Macaca mulatta: one gene and its partner. The protein of the gene in region 2 interacts with the protein of the main gene of each other region in a biochemical or structural test. Links are inferred from orthologs where the notes say so. Each region holds a gene or a part of one and is shown on either strand. Other genes may lie near its edges.

Region 1 (3,748 bases), on a different chromosome or scaffold from region 2:
TTTTCTTGGTTTATCTCTAGCCTATCAGAATTGTAGTTTCCTGTTTATTTACTTGCTATCTATGACTAGAATGGAAGCCCCTGAAAGCAGGGATTTGCTTCTTCAGAGATGTCTATCCATCCCCAGCTCCTAGCACAGTGTCTGGTACATAGTTGGTGCTTAATGTTTGTTTGGTTGAATGAATGAATGAACGAACGAATGAGTGAATGAATGAATTGGGCAGATGGTTAGCAAATGTTTTCCCTGCCACCTTATTGCCCCCAAATCATTTAGCTGCACCCACTTCAAGCCTTCTCTGGCCAGGGAGCATCAATCCTAGAAGCCAGATCATCTGACCTGGAGGGTGACGATTCAAATTCAAATTTGAACCTGGAGGTTAAAATTCTGTCTGTCTCTGCCACTTAACAGCTGAGTTTAGATAAATCGTTTAATCTCTCTCGGCTGCATTTTTCACATTAATTCCGACCTTGTGGAGATGTGGTGAGGATCTAGATAGGAACTAGACAGGAAAAAGCCCCAAGTGAATTCGGCGCTTTTGTTTGAAGCTATCTTTTCTTTTTCTTTCACAATCGCGCCTTCCCAAGCCTCGTCACCCCTGCCCTTCTCACTAAGCACGTCACAACCTCCCTCGCACCCGATGTGGGGGGACTTGCAGGTTGCTGAGCCCTCGAGCACGCAGATATTTCCTTTCTCTAAAAGGGAAGGAAAAGAGCCTCCCCGGCCTCGGGTCGCGCAGGTCTCCGGAGCGGGCGTCAGTGGCGGCGTCTGTGCGTGCGCGCGCGCCTGCGCATCAGGGCCAGGGGACGGGTGGGGGCTGAAGAAGGGGCCGGCCTTCAAGCAACAGCGACGCAAGATGGCAGCCACCACGGGCTCGGGTGAGCGGGGGCGCCGGGCCCGGCCGGCCGAAGGGGCATGGGCTTGGGCCGGGGGCTGGGGACTCTCAAAGGCTCCTGCAGGGGGGCCAGGGTCCCCGCGCCGCCTCTGTCCGGTGGGCTCCGCTGCAGCCACGGGCAGGCGGTGGCCGGAAGCACGGGCGGGGGGCTGAGGGGCCTGTGGGCGGCGCGGCGAGCCTTAAGGCTCCCCCGGGAGGCGTGAGGGCCCCGCTGCGCTACCTGGGGGAGCCGGAGTGGGCGAGGAGCGAGCTCCAAGGCACTTCTGAGGAGACCGGGGCTGGCGACTCTTAAGGGGCGACCAAGGGGTTCCTTAGAGGAGGAGGCGCCCCACAGCGGATGGAAGTCCCGTACTGGGTGCCAGGGGTGCGGCTGAGGGGGGGCCTTGGGATGTCTGCAGGGGACATCAGAGGAGCCCCTCAAGCTGGATGGGAGGAAGGAACGGGATCCTGAGGGGGTGACTCGAGAGGATCCCCTATTGGTTGAGGGGACGGCTCCGGCGTTAGTTTTAGAGATGGGGTTAGCCGAGGAAATAGCTGTGTTGACTAGAAAGGAGGAGCCTTGGAGCGGCTGCTTTTGGGGAGAATTAAGGAATCTCCGCATGATAAGTGAGAGCGGGGGGGAAAGGATTCAGATGCCACAGGGACTTGATTGCAGTGATAGTGAAATGACCCCATCATTACCAGTCTCCTATTCGAGGATACAGATGGATTGCTCCAATTTCGCTTTCAGGGGACAGGTCCGTTGGGGCAATTGGTGGAAGCCTCTGATATTGAATGAGGAAGAACAGGTGAATTGGGAATCCCGAGGATGTCTCTTTGGGAGTGGGGATTCAACTGAGGGAAGCCCCTGAAATGAGTTAGTGGAAAAGGTCGGGTTCCAGAGATGTTTCTTGTAAACGAGATAAGTCTCCTCTTTTTGAATTGAGTGAGGGAAGCATATCCTAGAAGTGTCTCTTCTGTGGAGACGCTCACTCTCATCCACTCCTTTGATAATTGGGACAGATATGTGGGTTCAGCTCAGAAGTTCCCCACTGGCTGATGGGAGTAGGGAGGTGAATAGATGAAATGGACACTCTTGGGTGAGGCTGCACCCTCGGGTGCCTGGCAGTGAAGTTGGCCAAGGAGGTGCTCTCAGATGGGGTGAAGATGGGTTACCTCTGATGGAGGAAGCAAACAGAACCACAGTGTTCCCCACTGTGGGGCTGCAGGGACACGAACCTGAGTACGGCAGTCATTGGGGTATTTAAGGCCACAGCAGGGGCAGTGTTGGGAAGGAATTGGTGATCCATGAGAAATAGGGTGAGGGAAATTCTTTACAGTGTTGCTCCTCTGCGGTCTCAAGGAGCCATACTTGTCTGATGGTTGGGGTGAGAATAAAAGAAATTGAATATGGGAGATCTGACTGAAGTGACCCACCAGAAGCTGCTGCCTTTTGCATTTAAAACAGTGGGGTCTTCTTGCAGCATAGCGGAGACCATGAATCCTTTTACTCGATTTTGGTTTCAGCTGGAACAGTGCTGAGTCAATTCATTTACCAAGACGCTGCCCCAGGCACTCCCAGAAGAGAGATTCTGAGTCAGGCCAGACTGCTGGGGGAAACTTCTCACCAGAATAACACTCGTACCAGGTCGTAATGAAGCAAGGGGCCCAGTGTGCTGGCGGTAGCCAGCAATAAGGTGCTGTTGCAGCTCAGCCCTGCTTGCAGTCACTCGGTTGGCTACCTACAATCTGAGTTAACAGGTGCCCGATTCTAACTTCTGGAGACCCTGACAGTTAAAAAGTGAGTGCTTCGTAAATGGCTATGGCGATCAGATAAAATGTCAGCTGCTCTCGAGTGGAATACAAGAGCATTTGGCATGGTTTAGATAACATAGAACAGGCTTTGAGGTGCCCTAAAATGGACTTCCCAAAATTCTTTTTGTCTGTTTATTCAAAAGATATTTACTGAGGGCCTATTATGTCCCATTGTGGATAGCAAACAAAACAGACATAGTCTGTGTCCTTTGGGAGCTTCCATTCGAGTCAAGGAGAGAAGGCTGTTAAGGGGTAAATAAATAAGACAATTTCAGATAGCAGTAAGTGCTATGGAGGAAATTGTGTGATATGATAAAGAGTGTCTGGAGAGATGGTCAGGGAAGGCTTCTCTGAGAAAGTGACATTTCAACTGAGGGGAATAATGGAAAGCGCCAACCCTACAGTGTCACAGGTAGGAGAGAGGGTGGACTGTGAGTGCAAAGGCCTTGTGGTGGGACTGAGCTTGGCATGTTGAAAGAACAGGATAAAAGGCCTTAGTGTGCAAGCAAGGCTTGTTAAAGAGATGAGTTGGAGAGACATGGCTTTGGATTTGACTTGGTGTGAGGGGAAGCCATCAAACAAGTATCTGGTATGAAGTAGGCAGTCAGTAAATATTTGTTGAATGAATAAATAAGAGTCTTAAAAAGAGGAGTATGGCAAGATCTGACCTAAGTCCCTAGGCAGTGAAAAGAGTGCAGGGTGCTAAGCAGACCTTACTTGGGTTAAACTAAAATGAGTGTACAGGCCTCCCTGCTTTCTAACCCTGAGAAGTCTTCCAGGTGTGGTCAGGGCCCTGAGGCCTTCCTTAGTCAGGTTTAGAGTGAGGCTCTTTATTAATCTGTGCTTCTGGTTGCCAGGAAACAGCTGTGAAGCCTTTGAGTTCCTGTAAGGGCTGAACTTAGTTTTTTATGGTCACTGCTTTCAGCATTTGGCTACACCGCCTTCCCACTTCCTTTGGTTCTGCAATGTGTGGTATCTACATATGTTTTAGAGGGTGGAACTGTGAAAAGCCCACCACAGATCCTCAGAATCCCCATGTTATGACAGTGACTTCCTCCTGCC
Region 2 (3,435 bases):
TATGTCTAATTTCTGGAAATAATTAAAATTTCAACTTGGAATTTTAAAGAAATTTTATGGGCCGGACACAATGGCTCACACCTGTAATCCCAGCACCTTTGGAGGCTGAGGTGGGCAGATCACTTGAGGCCAGGAGTTCAAGACCAGGCTGGCCAACATGGTGAAACCTTGTCTCTACTAAAACTACAAAAAATTAGCTGGGTGTAATCTCAACTACTCAGGAGGCTGAGGCACAAGTATAGCATGAACCTGGGAGGTAGAGGTTGCAGTGAGCTGAGATCACACCACTGCACTCCAGCCTGGGTGACAGAGCAAGACTCTGTTTTAAAAATGAATAAATAAATAATAAAAGAAATTTTATGGAAGAATACTTTAAGAAAAAATTGTTTTAATTATCTTGATTTTATCTTTCCCCAATTTACCTAGATTGAATTGAAACATCAATTTTAATAGGTTCTAAGTTTCATTTGGTTAAAGGCTTAGCAGTATTGCAAAATGATTGAAAGCACAGTACATGACACCAGACTACCTCAGTTTGATTTTTGCTAGTTGTGGTGTCCTTTGGCAACTTACTTGCCTCACTGTGGCTTCATTTTCTCATTTGTTAAATGAGGCTATTTGGACCTACCTCAAAGAGCTGTTGTGAAGATGAAATGAATCAATGTGTATAAAGTTCTTAACACAGTGCTCACTAAATGTTAGTCCTTACTATAATTATAATTATAATAATTATTATTATTATTACAGCTTTTTGAGACAGGGTATTGCTATGTTGCCCAGTCTGGTCTCTGACTCCAGGGCTCAAGTGATCCTCCTACCTCAGCCTCCTGAGTAGCTGGTGCTACAGGCATGTGCCACTGCACCCTGAATTATAATTATAATAACATTATTATTAAGCACAGGAGATGAGATACCCCTAAACCTAGCAATCAATATCAATGCCTTACTGATTATGAATTAAAGACAGTTTTTATTCTGTTACATATGTAGGCCTGGAAGGAAGTTTGTGAGCAGTGTTTGAATATGTTTATGTTTGTCTTCTTTTTTATAAAGATGATTTATTATTAATCCGGAAGAATAGAATGGCACTGTTTCAACATTTGACTTGTGTAATTCCAATCCTGGATAGTCTACTAACTGCCAGAATTATTAATGAACAAGAACATGATGTTATTAAACAGAAGACACAGACATCTTTACAAGCAAGAGAACTGATTGATACTATTTTAGTAAAAGGAAATATTGCAGCCACTGTATTCAGAAACTCTCTGCAAGAAGCTGACGCTGTGTTATATGAGCGTTTATTTGGTGAGTGGTAGAAAATTATTTTTTTAAATTTTCTAAGTCAATTGAAAATATGATCTTATTAATAACTTATGATTATTGAAAATAATTCAGGCTGAGTGTGGTGATGCATGCCTGTAATCCTAACACCTTGGGAGGCTGAGGCAAGTGGATTGCTTGAGCCCAGGAGTTTGAGACCAGACTGGACAACATGGCGAGACCCCATCACTACAAAAATTTTTTAAAAAAATTAGTTGTGATGGCGTACACCTGGTAATCCCAGCTACTCAGGAGGATGAGGTGGGAGGATGGCTTGAACCTGAGAGATAGAGGCTGCCATGAGCTGTGATTGTGCCACTGCACTCCAGCCTGGGTGACAGAGTGAGACTCTGTCTTGAAAAAAAACTCAATCAAATTTATAGATATTAATTGCATAAAAAGATTAAAGACTTTTGTTGCCTTGACATGAGTATTTGGCCAAAGTCTAAAGAGTTCATTTTTAAAATATATTCTGTAGCTAAATATTAACCTTATTTGTCATAGTAATGCTTTTTCTTTTTCTCCCTTAGTGCAACAGGACATAAAGTATATTCCCACAGAAGATGTTTCAGGTAATAGTATTAATATTTTAAACCAATAGAAAACATTGTCTATTTTCTTGTTTTTTTCATTGAAGAAGCAAATTGCCTTTTATGAAAAATTCTTTCCTCTTTCTAGATCTACCAGTGGAAGAACAGTTGCGGAGATTACAAGAAGAAAGAACATGTAAAGTGTGTATGGACAAAGAAGTGTCCATAGTGTTTATTCCTTGTGGTCATCTAGTAGTATGCAAAGATTGTGCTCCTTCTTTAAGAAAGTGTCCTATTTGCAGGAGTACAATCAAGGGTACAGTTCGTACATTTCTTTCATGAAGAAGAACCAAAACTTTGTCTAAACTTTAGAATTAATTTATTAAATGTATTATAATTTTAACTTTTATCCTGATTCAGTTCCTTAAAATTTTTTATTTATTTACAACTCAAAAAAATATTGTTTTGTGTAACATATTTATATAACTATATGTATCTAAACCATATGAACATACATTTTAGAAACCAAGAGAATGATAGGCTGTTGTTCTTATGAACAAAAAAGAGATAGCACTACAAACACAATATTCAATCAACATTTCAGCATTATTGAAATTGTAAGTGAAGTAAAATTTAAGATATTTGAGTTTGCCTTTCAGAATTTTGAATATTTTGGCATTGCATTAATACTGGCAACATGAAGCCAGATGTGGTGGTGTGTGCCTGTAGTCCCAGGCTGAGGCAAGAGGATTACTTGAGCCCAGGAGTTTGAATCCATCCTGGGCAGCATACTGAGACCCTGCCTGTAAAAACAAACAGAACAAAAACCAAACACCAGGGAGACACATTTCTCTGTCTTTTTTGATCAGCGTCCTATACATTGAAGGTGTGCATATATGTTGAATGACATTTTAGGGACATGGTATTTTTATAAAGAATTCTGTGAGAAAAAATTTAATAAAGCAACAAAAATTACTCTTATTCTTAATAGCTTTATTTCTATGACGTTGGATAGTTTAGTCACTCCCAGACTCTTTCCATACTTCCTTGAAGCCTCTTAAATATTGAACTACAGTTTATATTCTTTCCTATAAGATGCTTCTTCATTGACACAGAGCACGGGGTCAAGACACTATAAAGTCTATAGGATTTTATGGAATGCCTGAGACAAGAATCAAACAGTCCCTTTAGTAAGTTTGTTTATTCATTTGTCTATTGATTCATTCAAGAAGTCTGATGCCAGACCCGCCTATTGGAAGAAGGTCTGAGTTTTATTCTTACCTCTTTGGTATTAATTCTGAAACTTAGAAAGTACACTGGTTAGCAATGCTTGGGACCAACAGGTTGTTCTGGTAAATAAATCTGTTCCATGTTGTCAGTGCAACAAAATGTTCCCCTCTGCATTACGTTTTTGGTACTCAACATGTCCAAGTCATAACTCTCTCCTTTGTTTCTTATAGAGGTATTAGGTCTTTAAGACTAGAAGTAAGACTGTAATAGGGAAAATCAGGGGAAGACAGGCAAAGGCCAGTCATCTAAACCAGTTCTAGATGTCTGTGTAGGGGCAGATGGCTCTGTAAGG

The links.
Region 1: the proteins of BIRC3 (region 2) and UBE2V1 form a complex in vitro, tested with the Homo sapiens proteins (2 studies listed by BioGRID). The link is inferred for Macaca mulatta from reciprocal best matches to the Homo sapiens genes BIRC3 and UBE2V1.

The regions. Positions count from the first base shown.
Region 1 is NC_133415.1:102,962,350-102,966,097, reverse strand, and holds the start of UBE2V1 (ubiquitin-conjugating enzyme E2 variant 1), read left to right. Parts: upstream 1-835; 5' UTR 836-853; coding exon 854-875; intron 876-3,748. UniProt on the Homo sapiens protein: Has no ubiquitin ligase activity on its own. The UBE2V1-UBE2N heterodimer catalyzes the synthesis of non-canonical poly-ubiquitin chains that are linked through Lys-63.
Region 2 is NC_133419.1:103,206,306-103,209,740, forward strand, and holds the end of BIRC3 (baculoviral IAP repeat-containing protein 3), read left to right. Parts: intron 1-1,053; coding exon 1,054-1,308; intron 1,309-1,853; coding exon 1,854-1,895; intron 1,896-2,001; coding exon 2,002-2,195; 3' UTR 2,196-2,825; downstream 2,826-3,435. UniProt on the Homo sapiens protein: Multi-functional protein which regulates not only caspases and apoptosis, but also modulates inflammatory signaling and immunity, mitogenic kinase signaling and cell proliferation, as well as cell invasion and metastasis.